Yarrowia lipolytica: one gene and its partners. The protein of the gene in region 1 purifies or fractionates together with the protein of each later gene. This does not show direct contact. Links are inferred from orthologs where the notes say so. Each region holds a gene or a part of one and is shown on either strand. Other genes may lie near its edges. The genes, in order: YALI1_E08545g, YALI1_C01720g and YALI1_F03855g.

Region 1 (6,775 bases):
GGGCTGGTTTGTGGCTTCTTTTTGCATCATGATGGTCGGGCTGTCTATGGCCGAACTTGGCTCCTCATTGCCCACATCTGGAGGACTCTACTGGTGGACCTACCACTTTGCTACCCCAAAGCTCAAGCGTCCCTTGTGTTTTCTGGTCGGTTACTCCAACACTCTCGGTCTGACAGCTGGTATTGTCAGTATCGACTACGGATTCGCCCAGCTGGTACTAGCTGTGGCAGGAGTAGCTACGGATGGAGAATACGTCGCAACAAAGTACACGGTTTACGGCGTGTTTGCTGCCTGCATCATTTCTCACGCTATCGTTGCGTCTCTTGCGTCTGATGGAATGTCCAAACTCCAGACTGGCTGCATTGTTCTTAACATTGCCATCATTATCATTGCCATCATTGCTCTGCCTATTGGTGCACGACACAACCTACATGACGGAGCCTACATTTTCGGCAAGCTCGAAAACCTCACCACCTGGCCTACTGGATGGACTTTCTTCCTGGGCTGGCTAGCCCCGATCTGGACTATTGGTTCGTTCGACTCGTGTGTCCACATGGCCGAGGAGGCCTCCAACGCAACCAAAGCCGTGCCCTTCGGTATCATCTCTTCGATTGGAATGTGCTGGGTTCTCGGATTCGTCATCAACATCGTTCTGGCTTGCGTGATGGCTCCCGACACTGAACGAATCCTCTCTACCCCCTTCCAGCAGCCGATGGCACAGCTAATTTACGACTGTCTCGGAAAGAAGTGGACCCTCGCTCTCATGGTCATCATCTTCGTGCTCCAGTGGACCATGGGGCTGTCTATCGTTGTGGCAGCCTCGCGACAGTCGTGGGCCTTTGCTCGAGACGGAGCCCTTCCTTTCTCCAACTTCTTCAAGGTCGTCAACCACAAGGTCTCAATCCCCGTGCGAGCCGTCTGGGGCAACTGCACACTCGGGCTGGTCATTGGATGTCTCTGTATGATCGACGCAGCCGCTGCTGCTGCCCTCTTCTCTCTGGCTGCTGCTTCTAACGACCTGGCATGGATGACTCCTATCGCCTGCAGACTCATCTGGGGTTACAAGAACTTCGTGCCTGGACCCTTCTACCTTGGTCGTGTGATCTCCAAGTGTGTTTCGACTTTTGCTGTGCTTTACCTGTGTTTTGCCATCTGTCTGCTGATGTTCCCTCTGGAGGGACCCAACCCCAACAAGGACAACATGAACTACACCTGTGTCATTAACGTGGCCGTGTGGGCTGGCTCGCTCATCTACTACTTTGGATGGGCCCACAAGTGGTTTGAAGGACCTCAGAGCAACTTGGAGCTCGAGGGTATGGAGGTTGAGGGAGTTCCTCAGCTAACAAAGATGAACCAGACGGACCCCGCTCAGAGCGACAAGTCCGTCGAGTAGATTATTTATGTATATTTATTATTGATCGAATCATTATATTGGTATTATAGAGTGACCGCCACACGCAGGAGATACTACATTGTAGCTGCTAGAGATAGTAGAGCCCACCAGGCAGATACTCCGCTGATTACACGTGTCATGATCATACATCTATTCATACATGCTATAAGTCACCTGTGCCTAAGCCTCCAGCCAAACACCCTCACCTCGGTCGTGAATCCATCCACCCAACTGCTTGACGTTGGCGTCCCACTGGTCGAGTCTCTGCTTCATGTCGGCAATCTGCTGCTTGTTGAGCACTCGGGGCTGCAGCCATGTGATAGTGATGGTCTGAGCAACCTGGTCAATGTGGCCCTTGATGAGCTCCAACGACAGCGCCTTCATGACCAGATGCTCAATCTCGTCTGCGGGCAGCTGAGTCTCCTTTGCCACTGCGGCAAAGGTCAGAGTTCGGTCGTTGGTGGGTCGCTTAAAGGCAGCCTCTGTCAGTGCTGTCAGACAGATCTTTTGTCGCAGCAGAGGCATGGCGGCCTCGAGAGGAGGCAGCTTGGAAACATGCTGCGATGTGAGCTTCTCAAACTCGGAGATGTCGCCCTGGTTCAGTGCGAACAGCAGGTCTCGCAACCAAGCGTACTCTGTGTTCTTCAGACTGTCCAGTACGGGATGCAGCAACAGCTCTCCAAAGTTGTGAATCTTCTCTCCCAACAGGGCTGCCACAGACAGTTCATGGGCTCGCTTCTGGACGGCCTCCACCGACAAAGTAGACAGATCGATGCACGCCAGGTACAATAGAGCGTTACGGTAGTAGGTGTTGAAGTCGCCCTTGGAAAGATAGTAGTCGGCGTTGACGCCGTAGTAGGCGGCGGTAATGATGGGATCGACAGAGTTCAGAGAGTCGATGGTGCCGGTGACGGAGTTGAGCACCTCTCGAGCGCCATCCATGTCCTTGAGACGCAGCTTGACTCGTGCAATCTCAATCTGGGCGTACACGTACGCATCCTGGGTGTCGGGCTTGTGGCTGACCTTATCTGCGAGGCTGGTGAGGAAGCCCAAGGTCTCCTCGTCGTTATTGCACTGGGCAGCTGCCAGCACTCCGAAAATGACCAGTTTCAGCTGGTTCAAGTTGCGCTCAAAAACCTGGATGAATTGCGTGAAGATTCGCAGTCGCAGAGGCTTGGATCGGGGGTCTGCGTACAGCTCGGCCAGCGCATCTGTCAGCTGGTGCCACAGCTTTCGCTCCCACAGATCTTCCAACGAGTAGAAAGTTGCGGCCAGCTCGGGATCGGCCTCCATTCGGAGAGTAGCCAGGATAGTGGGCACGTCGTTGTCTATTTCCATTGTCGCAATTGTGATGTCGTGTGATTGATTGTGCAGTGTGGGTGGCAATGGTGATGTTGGTGGGTAAGGTTGGCAAGGATTAAGGTTTAGTAGTAGATAGGTGGCCATTAGAGGAGCCTGATTATTGTGGCAATTATGACTAGTAATTGTAAAAAAAAGTATGTGGATTATAAAAGAGGGTGTTGTAATGCCATAAAATCTTTTCAAAACTTCGGACTGATATCAAATCATGGTGTTGGAGAGGAAATAATTCCTAAAGTAATGGCCGATGACTCGTTGACCTTAAGTTAATTAATTACTTAACCGAATGTTATAACATCTTAGGTTCAATTCCCGCAAACATCACATTTAAAGGAGGGTGCCGTTTTGTGATCTAGATCACTGTAATTACAAGTACAAGTAAATAGTACTTGTGTACAGCTATTGTAAAAAATATAGAAGAGTTCCATAACTCCTTCACTACTAGACTGCTGTACTCATTCGGTATCAGTTATCCTCAAGCAATATCATTTACTTACCAACATCCCCTCATGAGAAGAAGTACATTATTTAGGGTACTAGCAGAAAGCCCCTGATCACCTGATTCTACTCGAGCTGTCCTTGTCTTGTAGCTCTTCTGATACCTCTTCTTCTCATCCCTGGAATAATCTGCGGCTTGTTCTGATACAATCAAACGCAGGCCAGTCCTCGAAACGGTTTTATGCTTCTATTGAGTTCAGCCCATTTCTGGAGTTCTTGTCATCCTAAGCTTGCACTATAGCCATAACTTGAACTGTAGTACGCGGACACTTCCATGCATCTCTATCGTGTATCACGTGAGACGATCCGACCGTATTTCCACGCTGTTAAAAGCTCGCCAGATGGGTTCCAAAATCATCCAGAGGCGTTTCTCCCGAAAGTTTTACTCGTTTATTTTTTCACTGATTGTCTAAAACTTTTAAAACTCTCATTATTCAAATGAAATGTATCAGATGTAAAGCCCAGACGTCGTTAGGTTGACATCATTGTACATGTGAGTTTGTCAAAGGTCTGAAGAGTGGCAAATAGGGGCCAAAAACAGAGTAAGGGGGCAATCATAGATACTTGTGGGTGAAGCGAAACAGATTACAGGCACTTCTGCTACTAGAACTGCCCCAAACAACACAAATTAGTCATCGTTGCACCCGACTGCTTTCAAACTCGAACATGTTTTTCATTATACATTTATTTATAGTTTTGACAATGCATGGAGTACTTGATTGTACTTGTGCATGTACACGTCAACTGTGAATAATACTGTACTAGAGGGGTCACGGTAGTGGGGGGTTATGGGATTCGTATAACAATTCTAAAATATGAATTTAATTCCAAATCTCGACTTATATTGATTCCATTTTTCACGCCACCAAAACCTCCCTTCCCCACCCCTTTTTTCGTCACCCCTTCTCTCCCCCAACACGTGTTAAACTTCTGGCTCTTCTCTATCAACCTTAACCAGATCCCTCATATACAACTCTATAGCGTTCGGAAATCCACTCTCATGATTCAACTACCATCATGTCTTCGCTACCGACACCGCTGCCTCCCTACAAATGGACCCTGTTAACGGCAGGTAACGCCAACGTGGTTTACAAGAGCGATGAGACCGATCTGCTTCTGCGACTGCGACGAAACCGAAACGCCCCTTCCACAGCCGAGGTGGACGAGTATCTAACTGGAACAATCCGACCGGCCATTGGCCCCTTTCTGTTTCACTATACAGTTGTGAATCTGCCTCTGGGGTTCCTCGAGTCGCTTCCCGAGGCCGAGAATCTCGATCTCGGAGAGCCCCTGGGTCTGCTCATGGAGAACCTGGGGCCTAAACCAAATGAAACCAACGTGCTCAAGTCCCACGCAGTCAAAATCAACTACAGCGACAACTGGGAGTCATATACGGTCGAATTGAAGCCCAAGTGGCTGCTTCAGAGCCCAACAGCACCCAAGGACAGCATCAACTGCCGAACCTGCGCGTTACAGCTCAAGCGAGAGAAGCCTCGAATCTGCCCTCTCAAGCTTTTCAACGAAGACGAACAGACATCGCTGCAAGCTCTAGAGGACGTGTTCCCCGGCACACAAAAGCAGTTCGAGCCTCTTGCCAAGTTCTTCTCGAATTCAGAGCTGTTCGCCGAGATCAGACACATGCAGCATGGAGACGAGTTGGGTATTCTGGGTTACGCAAATTACGTCCAGGTGCCTCCTCAGTTTGTCACAGCTATGACCATGCGAGACGTGTCACTATTTGTGCACGTTCAGGGCGACTCTGTTAATGGAAAGATTGTCGATGCTGATCTCAAGTCTGTTTCTGAGAAGCGAGACTACTGGGCCTCTCTAGAGACTGACCTGATTGAAGGCGGATGGTACGAGAAGCCCGGCACGAATTGCCTCCTAAGAAATTAGAAATATGGGCTCACAAAACGCACAGCTCGTTCAATAGACGAGCAAACGAACACAGTGATGTAATGGCGTCACAACCAGATAGATTAACATATTGAGTACAGTACTGCTCATAGAGCGAGCAACGGAAGCATTGAGATTCGTAGAAAGAGGCATAGTATGTACTGTATGTTGTAATAGGAGAGTTTTTCATACACTGCTGTATATTAAGACGTTGCTGTCCACAACAGAATGTCGTGTTGTGAATCGCGTGAAGTCTTAACAATAACTGCTAACAATACTTCGTCAACTCAACTAAGGTCGAGTAAATTCGAGATGACATAACGCCGAATCAAACGCAGATTGGTAGACATCAAATCGTCACCATCGATTTATATGGTTGCGAACTATAGTCTCACTTCTTTAACCATCGTCTCCTGTCACAAAACACCCAAATATATTCCTTTCTCACGCCTCCTTATCGAACCTGGATGTGGAAATTCTTACTGCATAGAGCCCACAGCTCCCATGCACTTCACTCTCAACCACGCGACAGTCGCCATTGATTGCACTCTGAGTTATCGAGTATTCGGGTTTCATTGAAGGATTTTGGTTTCTATTCTCGGCCCCAAATATCACGGTACCTCCCCACGTGTTTATCAGTAATCATCCTCATCGGAACGCTTCTAGACGCGTTCCAAGCTACTCGTTCTTATCACCATGTCACCTCCAGATTGGACTCCGGTGAAGATGTTTCCCTAGTGTGGGAACATCCTTCACAGACCTCATTATTGCGCGTATATTTGTCGTCGGTGATGGTATGCTCTTCACCTTGACCGACTTTGGGTCTCGTCAACTGTCAGGTATGGAAGCCGTGGTCGTCGTCCACTTCTCGGACCAATGGCCTCCGAATCCACTTCTCAAAGTTGGCAATGTGGTGGTCTTGAGGGGGTTCAAAAAGATGAAGGGATGCAATAAAGGGAACTAAATGCTCTACTTCAACCGAGCGAAGTCGGGCGTCATGTTCTACAATTCCCAAACAGGTCTTCGGCAAGCATTGCCCCAGACAAAACCTGGGGGCAATTGAAGAAAAGCCGAAGAAGTGATTACCACAAATACGTCGTTAGTCTGATTGACTACTGGAAGGATGATCCTAGAGCAGTTCCTATGGCGAAAACTCCTGCCCCACTTGCTGTCAGTGCTGAGATGAGTCTCAAGGAGGCCTATGACAGATTTGTATACTACAGTATGTACATACTGTACGAGATTGGTCTCTTGAGGGTGTCAGACAGACTGAAACAACAGCTCCGACATGAAGACACCTCCTACATTCAATGCTAGTCAGATACACTCAAGAGAACAAAAAGACAACGGCAAACGTGCCAAGATCCCAGGTGTTTTCATCATTTCGACTCTGCTTCCTATTGAAAGAAGACTACTGAAGGAGAAACTCACATCTAAGCCTCTGCCTACTCCTTATATTATGACACAGGACCAATCACAGGAAGCCATTTCTTCATTACTGTAGGAAATATTGACAGTGGGGACCTGAAGAAGATGAACTGGATGTCATGAAGTGTTGGAAGTCAAATTTGACCGGACACCTAGATATCAAGCCAACAACAATTCAGAATCAGATGAATACCACTCTTT
Region 2 (6,472 bases), on another chromosome or scaffold:
TACTTGTTTTGTCATGTGACATAATCTATGGAATATTCTTTTCAATCTTTTCTATTTCTCTCGCACTCAGGTCAGAATATTGTTGAGAGAGTCTTGTTAAAGGTGATACCCCGGACCAACCTGGTCAATTTCTCACATAGACATGAGAGGAACCAGCTTGGTCGTAGACAATGATGTCCATCCTGTAAGCAGTGTATCTGCCGATCTAGAATCTCTTTCTGGTGAATGAGCAAGCACACACTCTTCTGGTGTGTGCTACTATCGGAACGTAGGGTCCTGAAATGAGTTGTAAGCCGTTAACTATATATATCAATCATACTTTATAATTGATGTTCTGAGAATATTGCTGAAAAAAGAGGCATAAATGGACATGACACAATTTGGTTAACCGATACACACAGAAGTGTTGTTTCAATATTAATGTTTCAAGATACTCGAGTTTCTGCTTAGAAATGAGTGGATTCACAGTTAGGGACGTTGTTGGAGTTTACTTGGAATTTGGAACATTTATGCTGTGTGCGACATAAAAAAACATGTCAATCTAATATCTGGACAGAAAACTTAGCATATTCTAACAGCTATCGTACTGGTACACACTTGTACTTGTGCGTATTCCATTGGCACACGCATTTTACTCCAATGAACCTCAATTAGCTCGTCAGAGCTGGATCTATCGTGCCCTCTCATATCCGCCAAAGGATATGTGCTCGTTCTTGCAGTCTCGAGACTGATATATGTGGTTTTTTTTAGCAGACATATATGGTGTTTCAGTTTCTGCCGCTAATATGTGCCATCGCCGTACAAAGTACTTTTATTGCAAAAGTACAATTCCGATCCATTTTCATATAGCTCACATTGTGTACAAATGCAACACCAGACTTGTCTGTTTCATGTCCTGTCTCGTCCTTGTTGGAGATGTACTGTACCTGACCCTAGTCACGAGAAGCGCGCGATACGATAACTCCAGATGAGATACACTCGTCTAGACACGTCCAATACTGAGGTACGCGTCGGAAATAATACAGTACATTCTTGACAGGATTTGGTGACATGAAACAATGGGTCTGAAATGGGAGTACTTGGCGAAGGCAACTTGGAGTGACAGAATCGAGGCCCAAATACAGCGTCTTGTAGCTCCCAAAAAAGACCTTTCTGGACCTGGAACCGAGAATGCACACTTTTATTATGTCTGCGGGAGGAGACACATTTTTGGCAAGAGTAGACTACAGTAGCTGCGCATGTGCCCCGGCGTCTTGGGTCGAAAACAAATGTGCTCTGAAGCACATAGACAATGGATCTGTACGGGCTATGCGTATATCGGAATTTTTATTATATCGGGAATAGTGCAGTTTTGCCATTTTGCCAAGCCAGCCAGTTGGAGCGCGCAGATGTCAAAAAAGAGGCGTGCTGGGGTTGGCAACCCGCTAAAAAGGCATGGGGCGAGGTCATTCAGGGGTCGACGGTCTAGAGTCGAGGTTCCCGTGTCAAAATCGGACTAATATCTGACCCTTTGAGAGGTGTTCATTTAGGTCCCCCTTGTTGCATTTCATATCCTAACCTCGCTGCACAGCACCCGAAAAAGCACACAGCAGCAGCGTTGGGCCTTTGTCGGTGCCGGTACATACTTGTACGTCGTGTCTCTTGGCTCGTGGTCTACAGTGCCAGTATTATTTGAGAGTTTTGGTACAGTACCGTACGTATTGTCGCTGTATTTTATTATTTGCGGTGGTCAACAGAGCCCGAGTCGAGGTGAGGGGTTGCTGCCTGGCCGTGTATTTTCGACACTAATTACTGTACCGCCATCACTAGCTTGTTCGTCGACACGGCTTTTCCACTCACTTTAATTTAAGCCGTATTTTAAGCCATGTCTTAGATCCAGACGAAAAAACGGTCTACCGGACTTGGTACAGACCTTAAACCAGCCCGTCAAAATACCGGTCGAAATACAGTACATTTACAAAACAATATAGGCTAAAGGCCAATATAAAAAAGCGTGTTGTAGTTGGACACGCGTATTGCACGCCCACGTCCAATTGCTCGATATACCACGTACCAGTGCGTACATTGTGTACAGCGGACTGTGCATACACCAGGCGCTGCCGGAGGTTCGGTTTAATTACGTGCTTGTGCTCGGATGCAGGGGAACCAACGGCAGTCACCGTTCTTAGTTTACCGGCATGCCGAAAAAGGCACGGTTTGCGAGCAGACAAACGGGCTGCTCACGACGGCAGAAAATTAATAATCGGCCATTGTTGCGCACTGCTGGCGACGTCCGCCACGTAATATGACGGCATTGCATTACATGGAGGGGCTGGATAAGAAAAATATTGCAAGGCTGATTGGCGATAGATAGCCGAGCACGGTGTATGTTGGGTTGAGTGGGTGGGAGGAGAGCCTTTGGAGCACACTTGTGAGACAGGACAAGGACAAGTGTAGCGGCGTATGCAATTACCCGTGTATCTGGTAATTAATGATGCATTTAGTGTGGGGGTCGAGGCCATAGCAGGTTGGCGACTGGGCAGGCATGGTAATAATCAACAAACGAGAGCCAATGGGCGCTCGTGAAGCTGTCGAATGTCGTTATTCTCTACTGTTAAAGTAACGGTTGGGACAAATACTTGAACTTAGTGGGCTCAATCAAACCCCCTGGTTGACAGCCTTAATTCAACCCCAAATTTACCACCTTGCTGTTGAACTACGGGCTCTAAAGACCATGCTCAAGGTGGAGGGTCGGCGGTCCAAAAGCCCAATTTTCCTTTCCCCACACGAAGCGATGGATCGCAGCAATATTTTCCACCGTCTTCCCCACTCTGCCCCACAGTAGAGCCTCATGATTTCATTTCCTTTGAACCAGACCAAGAAAGAGGTTAAACCACCTCGATCAGGTCACGTGATCATGCATACGGAAATCTGGGGACGCCTCGAACCTTAAGCAATCGTACCATGATCGAAACCTGCATCACCACCACGAACAAGTCCTTCCTTGTACACACAAGCATTTAACACAACAAAAACACACAATGGAAACCAAAGAATACCCTCTCCAGGTGGCTGCGCGGGACGGCGACTTGGCCACAGTGAAGGAGATTCTGTCACGTGACCCCAAGCAGGTGAACCTGGTGGATTCGGACGGCCGAAGCGCTCTGCTGTGGGCGGTGTCCATGGGCCACAAGAATATTGTGGAGTGGATTCTGGACAACCAAAAGCCTGCTGACATTGACCAGACCGACGCTAGTGGCTGGACCGTTGTTCACATTGCCTCCTCCACCGGAAACATTGACATGCTGCAGCTTGTTCTGCCTCTGGATCCCGATGTCAACGAGAAGGCCAATGGAGGACAGACTCCTTTGCATCTTGCTGTGGGCAAGAACCGAATCGATGCCGTGCGACTGTTGCTAGATCATGGAGCCAAGCCCTCAGTTCGAACAAAGGACGGCCAGGGCCAGATTCCGCTCGTTCGAGCTGCTGCCAACGGCTCCATGGTCATGGTCAAGACTCTGCTTGAGAACGGGTCGCCTCTGTCCACCACCGACATCAACGGCTGGACCGCTCTGCATCACGCCATGGCCGAGGGCCAGGGTGACGTTGCTGTCTATCTCATCCAGCAGGGTGCTTCCGCGGAGGCTGTGGACAGCGACAACAAGACCCCCTTTGATGTTGCTGTCGACACCAAGGTTCTGGAATACGTCAAGTCTCAGCTCGCCTAGATGGTCTTATCATGGGATCGGCGACCGATTGCTATTTGTACAGCACAATTGTACGGTCGAAGAGCGCAATTGGGTAGCGAAACTGTCAAGAGCTCACTTGACAAACATGATAGGATGGCTTTGTCTTGGCATGGATCGGACCCGCTATTACTTCTATTTCATAGTCAACCAAATGCATACACTGTTGGGCGGACATTGGTGAATTGCCATGCTATGCTGTGGGGTTCTGCCTTTGCTCCATCATATCAGCTACCTGTAGCGCAAAGAGCCAGTCTAGCCGTACGTGCTGTAACCTTCGCACTTTCCGAGCCCACGGAGTTTTGTACGAAAGAAGACAAGGATCGTAGGAAGGGTAGAGAGTGGATAAAGCGCGTATAAAAGTAGATAGAGAGTTTCGTTAACGCGGTAAAAGGGATGCACGTAGATGAGGTAGGACCAAGCAGCATACGTGTACAAGTAAGTGCTTTACCGGGAATGTGTGTTTTACCGAGTACAGGTATGCACATTGTGTAGTGCTTGGTAACGGTTGAGGTTTTTAAGTGTAGACGAAGAGGTTTAAATAACTGTCCAAGTGATTTGTCAAACAACACAGTTAGACAATCATGCCGCATTCATGAGACGAACTGTCTCAGTTCAGTAATCCAGTCTCGTCGCAACCCATCCCTACCGGACCATACAGTACACACTTTGAAGCACAATGTGGGGTCGTACAAGGGTATTGTCACGTACAGTACAGTACTGTACAGCAACGTTAGTCCCTTGCCAAAAAACAAGTGAGAATATTTTCATTTTTTTGACCCTGCCATATCAGTGCGAGTACCAAGCCTTCTGCCTCATGGACTCTTATTCTGAATCAAAATCAAGGTTGAAACGGCCCAATACGGATGGCTGAGCCTATTTATTCTGGGTGCTGTGAGGGCAAGTATACCATACAAGTATGTACAATACATGTAGTATTAAGACTAATAGTCATATTGACATGCCTCGGGTGGATATTTTCAATTGTCGTGTGGTGAATAATATCTCGTAAATGTATCCTCAAGTGTAGTGCATATTCAGTAGATTGATTCAGTAGATTGATTTCAGCATGTACAAGGGTTCTACCAACCCGTTAGTGACCGCTTAAACACCGTTTTCTCGCTCTCTCTCCAGGTCTCGCGTACCAGTACCCACGCCGAGGGTCACATGACTCAGAATACAATCCTAGTGCCACAGCCGCGCGCTCGGCGATATTGACTGCTTGTGGCGACCGGTGTCTTGGAAAAAGCAAGAAATGCACCAACAGGCACATGCAGTAAGAGAAAAAAAACACAGTATCTGGTACAGTAGGTTTTAGCAGCAGCAACCACCAAGCTCCAAGCACGAAAAGCAGGTTGTTCAGGGGCCCCACAGGACAATATAAACAATGCGAGGATAATATTTCGCGAATCGGGGAGACGCATTGTCTCCATGTAGGCGGATCGGGTGTCACTTGCTCTCGCTCTTCCTTCTTGGCCAGTAATTGGTGCGCTATGTCCACACTGTTAGTCAGATAATTTTTCCCAAGCCGGCTATTTTTCGTGCACAATTTTTCAACATATATAATAAACGGATCGCCCACGGATGAAACCCGAAATGAAGACGGCATCGCGACCATCACTACGAGATAAAGGGTGTGAAACACGGGCCATTTGTCAACGTGTGTAAGCGCAAAAAAAGCAAAACCAGACAGCACTTGGACAAGTACACTACAGTACACACAATCGGTTTGCAAAAAGAAACGAGTATAAACGGCAGTCAAGGGATACATGAAAAAACCCACACCTTGCACACACGCAGTACAAAAGTAAAAGAAATGTGCATGGAAGGAGTTTGCACACTCTCGGTGTATCGGTGATGCGTCCCACACGTACCCGAGCAACCCGGTCAGCAACCGCAACCACTTCTGGAGCTACTTGTACTGGTGCCGAGAAGGTGCTCCTGCAGAGGTTTGGGTGTGCAATTCTGTCTCCACAAGTACTGTACAATACTTGGTTGAGGAGATTGTCCCACGGTTGACACACGCTTCTCAATTGATCTCAATGGAGACTGTAGGCACAGCCTCGGCAACCGAGACTGTCGTGTGGGTAGATTGTATTATGTCTCTGAATCTGTGGGTCTCACAGGATGCAGAGCGGCAGAAGGTCTGGAAACATGGACAATGTACGGTAGGAGTTTGTCGACGTTTGTGGTCCATCCGCCAACAACTTGGAAGTGTGCCCCGAATGTTTTTCGCCAAAACGTCTCTTTCAGGTAACATGTGGACCCAGCCTAAACAGACAGCTGTCGACCTGTGGGCCTGAGAGAGCAGATCCAGTGACGTGCTCGTACTGCGGCGGCTACTGTACGATGTACAAGCACACATTGCCAGACACCAGAACGTCCCAAATGGAAGCCGAGACTGCCTCTTTCAGGAAATTTAGGAAATTATGGCGAGTTGACAGTGGCTTCCGCAGCACATACATTCCCTGGTGACATCGGCATGAGCCATCGTAGGACAGTCGGTAGTCAGAAATAATAATCCATGCTTCACAGAGTACACAAAAGAACATCCCCTCCTTTGAACAAGACGACTGTCCTGTTGCTGCTGCTTCTCCTTTAGTCTCTTGGCCATAATACGAGTGCAACCGTGGTGGAGGGCGAATGGGGGTGCAAGATGGGGTACAGACGAGGTGGAGAGATGGAGGAAATTGCATTTTGAAGCTCAGGGAGATTGCACCAAGGCTGCCCAAACCCCACCCCACAGT
Region 3 (7,136 bases), on another chromosome or scaffold:
CCTAGTTCAATTTGTAACTTCTCGCCAACCCTCTCGGCCCTCCTCTCCAATTAATATACCACAAGCCTGGTCCCTCACCCAACGAAGATGTCCGCTTCGGCGGCAATCGACGAACTCTGTTGAGTGTACATAACGCAAGACTAATGCTGGGTGGATAATGTGGGGGGGATCCCTTACCTGTACGCAGACGCGGCTAAAAATGCCTTTTGGAGCTAGTCCGAGGAGTTGCGAGGATGAATGCTCCTTTGGAGACAGCTTGAATACGATATTAGGAAATAAAAGTTTCAGCTCCACCTCCAAACACCTGCAGTGGGACCACTATTATGCGGTTATTGATGCATCTCCCCCACACGCGCCCCGAGACTAGCCCGACAAACCCAAAGTTCAAATCTGGGGTGAGCCGCAGGCCAGAGGATAAAGCTAGACCGATCTCTTTTCTGGCACTCCTTTCCAACACACCAAAACCCACCCTAACACATACACAGCATGCTCTCATCCACTCTCAGAAGCTCCGTCAAGGCCCTGCGACCGCTGCGGGCCTCCCGGGACCTGTCCTACGGCTTCATTGGTCTGGGTCGAATGGGTCTGCCCATGGCCCTCAATTTGCAGAAGAAGCTGCCCGGTGTCGACGCTGACTCCAAGGTCAACGTGTTCGACATGAACAAGGCTGCTCTAGAACAGATTGCCAAGGACAAGGATCCCAAGGGCGCCCAGCTGGAGGTGCTGGGCTCTGCCGTGGACGTGGCCAGCAAGTCCGATGTCATCTTCACAATGCTCCCTGAGCCCGTCCATGTCCGAGGAGTCTACACCGACCTGGTCAACAACCTCGGAGACAAGACCTCCAAGATCTTTGTCGACTGCTCCACCATTGACACTCAGACGTCAATTGAGTGCGGTAAGCTTGTGACCGACAAGGACGCCTCTGCTGCCTTTGTGGACGCCCCCGTCTCCGGAGGTGTCGTGGGAGCCGAGAAGGGCACCCTCACCTTCATGGTCGGGTGCAACAAGGACAAGCAGCAGGTGTACAAGCAGGTGGAGGAGCTGCTCAAGCTCATGGGTGGCCGAATCGTCAACTGCGGCACCCAGGGCCAGGGTCTGGCTGCCAAGCTTGCCAACAACTACCTGTTGGCTGTGACTAACGTTGCCACTGCTGAGGCTTTCCATCTTGCTGAGAAGCTTGGATGCGACCTCAAGCTCTTCTCAGACATTGTCAACTCCTCTTCCGGTCGATCTTGGTCCTCCGAGGTGAACAACCCCGTCCCAGGTGTCAACCCCGCTACTCCTTCTTCTCGAGACTACGTTGGAGGCTTTGGTATCAACCTGATGCGAAAGGACCTGGGTCTGGCCATCGATGTGGCCAAGCAGTCTGGATCCTCCATGCTTGTGGCTGACAAGACTTACGAGGTCTATCAAAACATTGAGAAGGGAGACAACTACCAGGGCAAGGACATGTCTGTTATCTACAAGTTCCTCCAGGATCAGGATCAATAAAACAAATACAAGTTTTAAGCTGACCCAATGAACTGTGAAACGTATTGCATAAACATTTCATGGATCATGACTAAATAATGAATGATGATGTATGACTTACACCCACTGGTTAGGCTCACTTGGTAAACATTTATATAACAATGTGGCTGCTGGTTGTAACTGTCTGTGTATTGGAATGTGTGTTGTCTCTATTAGGCATTTTCTACCAAACGTCTTTCTATGACGGCATGTACCGTTGCAAGTTATTCGATCTACTGTAGATGTTAGATGTTAGTATGTATACGAAGAAGTCCCCGTCAACCTCCACCTCATTGATGTATTTATTATAGTCATACGTTAATGCTTCTATGCTTACAGGTAGAGACCCTCAAGGTTCTCCTCCACCTTGTTCTTCATGACCCGCTCTTTAGCGGTTCGGAAATCCTCAGCAGTGACCCGCATTCGTCTCTCTCGCAGAGCAAGCAGACCTGCCTCGGTGCACATGGCCTTGATGTCGGCTCCAGAAAGTTCATCCTTGGAAGACACAAACTCCTCGAGATCAACATCGTCGTTGAGGTTCATCTTGGAGGTGTGGATGCCCATAATCTTTCGCTTGGTGGTGGAGTCGGGATTCTCAAACAGAATCTTTCGGTCGATTCGACCAGGTCGAATCAGTGCAGGGTCCAGCGACTCAATCTTGTTTGTAGCCATAATTACCTTGACGTCTCCTCGGTCGTCGAATCCATCCAGCTGGTTCAGAAGCTCCAGCATGGTCCGCTGCACCTCTCGCTCTCCGCCAGACGTCGACTCGTATCGTTTGGTTCCAATAGCGTCAATCTCATCGATGAAAACAATGGACGGTGCGTGTTCTGCGGCAATCTGGAAAATCTGTCGACACAGTCGGGGACCGTCTCCCAAGTACTTTTGGATCAGCTCGGATCCAACGATTCGCAAAAATGTAGCAGAAGTCTGGTTGGCGACGGCCTTGGCCAGCAGTGTCTTTCCGGTTCCGGGAGCGCCGTAAAGAATGACTCCCTTGGGGGGTTTGATACCCATCTCTTCATAGAGCTCTGGATGTGTGAGTGGCAGCTCCACGGACTCCTTAATTTCCTGAATCTGCGACTCCAGACCTCCAATATCGGCATACGACTCTGTGGGGGCCTTGTCCAACTTCATTACCGAGACCATGGGGTCGGCATCGTCTTGCAGCACTCCAACGACAGACACAGTCTTGTGGTGCAGCAAAACAGAACAGCCGGGTTCTAGAAGATCCTTATCAACAAAAGACATGATCGAAACGTAGTACTCGGGGCCAGAAGTGGACGAGACAATGGCATGATCGTCGTCGATGATCTCCTCCAGAGTGCCCACGCCCATGGGAGAACCTCTCAGAGTGTCAACCTTTGATCGCTCCTCGGCAACCTTGTCGTCCAGCGGGTTGAGACGCTCCTGATTCTGCACAAACTCTTCCTCCAGCAGCAGATGATCCTTGATTCGCTCCATCTTGAGCAGCTTGAGCTTGCATCGTGTCGTGGGGTACACGCCGGGCAGTTTGTTGGCGTTTTCGGGGCCCTTCTTCTTCTTTCGATGCGATCGTGTGTTCACGGGAGGCTCATACTTGGGCTTCTCGTTCTTCTTGTCGTCCTTCTTCTTGTCTCCGGGGAGTGATGGTCGGTTACCCTGGGGTTAGTACTGATTGTAGTGGTCATTCGCCACCTTGCGAGAATTGGATCAAAACCGGATTTTGTGACAATCGGCGTGTCGTGGCAACCGTTTGGCCACCATCCATTGCCCTCCAAGCGCAGAAACCGCGCTATACTCACCATGATGAATGTGTTGTGTTGTATGAGTTTGTAAGTGCTGGAACCTCTCTGGCTTGGCCACTGTGGTTTTGAGTTGTGTGTTCCCTTAGGCACACACAATTCAGTGCCGGGTAACTGTGATAAGTACTGCAAGTGAGTACACGATCAGACGTGCGTACAAGTAATCAGAGTACGGATCCAGACGATTTTTCGGGTGAGGTGTGTTTGCCACCCTTTGCTACTACCACCACGTGACCCCTTTTTTTGTCGATTCATACATTATTGTGCAAAATGTCCCATGGAATGTTCTAGGCACCATGGTAGAGATGAGTAAGCATTAAGCGAGCAAGCTACTATACCAATAGAAGTTAACGCTGAGGTTATGAGACCTGGTTACTGCTACAGTACTAATAGAAGCAAATTTGTAGTGACTAACAGTCGTTACTTACCCATTACTAAATCACACCCTTCAATACATTGCAACCATGACGCCATGACGCCACATCTACAAATAAATCTACTTGTACTGTGTGCTACTCATACGCCCACTGATATCAAGACTTATGCATATAAATTAACAGCCTAGTTCAGAAGCTCCTCGACCACTCTCTGCTCGTCCTCTTGAGACTGAGGCTTCTTGATTTGCAGCTTTTTGAACACGGCGATGATCTTGTCTTTGCCAAAACCCATGCTGGCGAATCCCTCAACGGCGTCTCGATCCAGGCCAAGGCGTGCGATCTCGTCTTGATCTCCTCCAGCGTTGCCACCGGCGTACTGGGCTGTCCATTCTGCTGCAGTACGCTCAAAAGCGGCCTTGTCGGTGAGATAGATCTTGGCCACCTCAGCATCCTGGGGGTCGTTGGGCTCGGCAGATTGCAGCAGCGACTGCAGCGAGATAAGCGACGATTTGAGCGTGAAGACAGGCGACCATGCGTCCTTGAGAATGTCGAGACAGATGGCGCCGGTCTGCGACGAAATGTTGGGGTGGTAAATGCGAGTGTCAAACTTCATTCGAGGAGGCTTGAAGGGGTCTGTGTTAGTTCGGCAGCGGCAGACATGGCCACATTGTCTGTGTGGCTCTCTTTACTCACAATCATTGGGGATCTGGATATCGACCACAAAAGTGCCGCCCTGGTAGGGAGTGCCGGGAGGCCCGTGGAAGGTGCCCTTCAGATGGGAGATGTCGGCATCGTTGATGGCCTGGATGGTGATGCCGGCTTCGGAGTCGGACCGCACATCCTCCATCTCTCTGGCTACTCGTCGGGCTCGTGACATTGTCTTTGTTGTATTTCTTTTCCTGTTGATGAGGAGGAGAGAGGGAGTCTCATAATGCTGCGCCTGCGATAATAGGTCCCAACCTCAAAAGTGGTTAGGTTGCAGCGGGTGGTGTTGCGGGGCACGTGAGGTGAGACTTTGAAGCAATGCTGTGTAGTGTATGTATAAAGATGGAAGGTTGCCTGGCGCATTTGAAGGTATTTGGCGCACTTATCTCACGGCTATTGCTACATACTACAGCTCCTGTTGCTGTGCCAAAAGATGGTTGCTCAGAAGAGTCTCTCCATCGCAATTACTGTAACGGACTGTCGAAAACTTTATATGACAGATACGACGTGGGTTGAGGGAGTGAAATACAGTGAAATAAAACTGATCTAAATTAAGCACTGGAATAAAAGCCTCTCCAACTACCAGTCGCACGCACAGTAGTTGATCTCTTGAATACTCAAGTACTACTTGCTTAGATTATTGCAGAAAGTTGCTATTAACGACATACTTGATATATTACAAGCCCCATTTCCATATGATTACTTCACTAAAACTCAGCTACTACTGTGAATGTTCTGTGCTTCTGCTCATACTTGTATGCGGCGATGGGTCTGGTTCTTCGAGCTCTACTCTCAAAGCTTCGGGACCACTCAGACCTGAAACAACAGCCACTGCTCGACAAAATCCTCGACAAAATCCTTCACAGTCTTGTCTAAACTAACCCAATCATTGTCTAGCACCTTTCGGGTTTACTCATTGTCTTGCCCTTGAGATCGGGAACCTCTTTGTTTACTGTATCCCGCAAATCCTGGTTGCACAACTTGGAGACACACGGCATAAGTCGCTGGTTGTCGAGGTTCTGGGGATGGCAGACACATGAGCTCTGACCCTCGGACGTATCTTGCCCGGGTGTGGTAGACAAGTGACCCTGAATGATGGTCCCATTAGTGGTGGAGTTGGGAGACTTCGCGTCTAGAGCAATACCACTACCAAACACGTAGCCGGGGTTGACGGTGGTAAGGCCAAACGAGGGCTTCTCAGACTTTATGAATCCCCAGGCCACCTTCCCTGCATACTTCTTGGAGCCCATGTAGGATACAAAAGCGTTGTCCTTATGAGAAGCTTCTCCCCATGCCACGGGAATCCACGACTCCTCGGTTACCAAGGAGGAATAATCGTTAGCCTCGTTCTTGTTGAGCATGGCTGCGAACGATGAGGTGATTTCCACGTGGGGAGCGTAGGTATTGCTTGACGATGACGACCTTGAGAACAGTCAGAGTTCTGTTGACGGAAGGCTCAGTAGATCCTTGACGGGGTCCTCGACATTGAAAGGTGAAGGAGAGGCGGTATGGAGCACGTATTTGATGCTTTTGAAGCCGAGTCTTGAACCCTCTTCAGATCGAACGTCGGAAACCGTCTCAAAAACCAGTTGTCCGGACTTGATAGCCTCGGAGAAAGCCACAGCTAGTCGCTGACCCTTTTCTTCTGATGGGATAATTCCCATGACTTTGTGATTGGCCTGGAGGAGTTTATCGATACAGTTGCCAGCAACGAAGCCAGCAGTTTACAATAACCAGATGCTCATGAATGAGCTAGAGATACCACTCCATGCGTTTACTTTGCACATGTTGAACTGAGCGGGGCTATATGTGATCCTAACTACGGTATATCAATGGCAATTCACTCGTGTTTGCACATAATTATTGCCATGGTGGTTACTATGGCTGGATTCCTTGTGATCGTCAAATTTCATATTTTCGACTTACTGTACTGTTTAGCTACTGCTTGTACTTTAGTTAGGAGTTTGTTTATAAGGGGGAAAATCTTCACCTGGGGATCTTAGTTCAGTGCTCTAAAGACATGTCAGGGAGATGAGAGAAACATCAGGGGATATCCTGAGCCCTGTAGAAAGGAAATATGCTGTATCAAAAACAGGCTATAGTGTTAAGTCTCAGTTTCTCTCAAATCACTGCTCCAGCCTTGAGTGCAATTTATTAGGAGTATAGTTGGTTTTTGTTGGACTCTGTTACAGTTTGAAGTGTAGGGCTGAGCTGAATCATCAGCAAGGAATGATCATGTTGCGAGACGTACTCACATGTGGAAGGGCACTTCAATTCTGGGAGAATTGTGTCTTCATAGTGTATATCTATTACTCCTACTTGTGTTCTATACATAAGGATGTGACTACAGCACATGTATAATACAAAGACATCCCGACTACGTTCCTGTATCTCGTACACTTGATGCTCGACAGTGTCTCGCACCTCATTAAATAACAACTCATAATCATTAACTAATTCAACACATGACTAAATTAGTCCTTCTTGACGTAAAGGTCAACGTACTCGTCAATGTCCATGTTGACAATATCCTGGTTAGAGGCAGCGAGAATCTTCTCAACCTGTCCCTCAGGGAATCGTCCACGGAGATGTCGAGCAAACTTCTCAAGGAGAACGGGGGTACCCTCCTCTCGTCGCTGTCGGTGGCCAATGGGGTAGTTGACCTCGATCTCGTCGAGCACGGTGCCGTCCTTGAGAGTGATCTCGATGGCGTTACCGATGTATCGCTTGTCGGGGGCGTGGTACTCCTCGGAGAATCGCT

The links.
Region 2: the proteins of YALI1_E08545g (region 1) and YALI1_C01720g purify together in Saccharomyces cerevisiae (affinity purification with mass spectrometry; 5 studies listed by BioGRID, with this or other methods). This does not show direct contact. The link is inferred for Yarrowia lipolytica from reciprocal best matches to the Saccharomyces cerevisiae genes RPN9 and NAS6.
Region 3: the proteins of YALI1_E08545g (region 1) and YALI1_F03855g purify together in Saccharomyces cerevisiae (affinity purification with mass spectrometry, with the first as the bait; 3 studies listed by BioGRID). This does not show direct contact. The link is inferred for Yarrowia lipolytica from reciprocal best matches to the Saccharomyces cerevisiae genes RPN9 and RPT2.

What each region holds. Positions count from the first base shown.
Region 1 is NC_090774.1:850,547-857,321, reverse strand, and holds YALI1_E08545g (uncharacterized protein), read right to left. Parts: upstream 2,840-6,775; coding exon 1,574-2,839; downstream 1-1,573. Other genes in the region: YALI1_E08575g (uncharacterized protein), read left to right, coding at 1-1,393; YALI1_E08530g (uncharacterized protein), read left to right, coding at 4,268-5,146; YALI1_E08512g (uncharacterized protein), read left to right, coding at 5,943-6,073, 6,130-6,463. UniProt on the Saccharomyces cerevisiae protein: Acts as a regulatory subunit of the 26S proteasome which is involved in the ATP-dependent degradation of ubiquitinated proteins.
Region 2 is NC_090772.1:168,604-175,075, reverse strand, and holds YALI1_C01720g (uncharacterized protein), read left to right. Parts: upstream 1-3,020; coding exon 3,021-3,707; downstream 3,708-6,472. Other genes in the region: YALI1_C01694g (uncharacterized protein), read left to right, coding at 5,542-5,573, 5,617-6,028. UniProt on the Saccharomyces cerevisiae protein: Acts as a chaperone during the assembly of the 26S proteasome, specifically of the 19S regulatory complex (RC) and appears to have an overlapping role with RPN14.
Region 3 is NC_090775.1:381,670-388,805, reverse strand, and holds YALI1_F03855g (uncharacterized protein), read right to left. Parts: upstream 3,297-7,136; coding exon 3,294-3,296; intron 3,151-3,293; coding exon 1,843-3,150; downstream 1-1,842. Other genes in the region: YALI1_F03883g (uncharacterized protein), read left to right, coding at 487-1,491; YALI1_F03842g (uncharacterized protein), read right to left, coding at 3,855-4,303, 4,364-4,547; YALI1_F03830g (uncharacterized protein), read right to left, coding at 5,269-5,736; YALI1_F03803g (uncharacterized protein), read right to left, coding at 6,850-7,136. UniProt on the Saccharomyces cerevisiae protein: The 26S proteasome is involved in the ATP-dependent degradation of ubiquitinated proteins. The regulatory (or ATPase) complex confers ATP dependency and substrate specificity to the 26S complex. Has ATPase activity.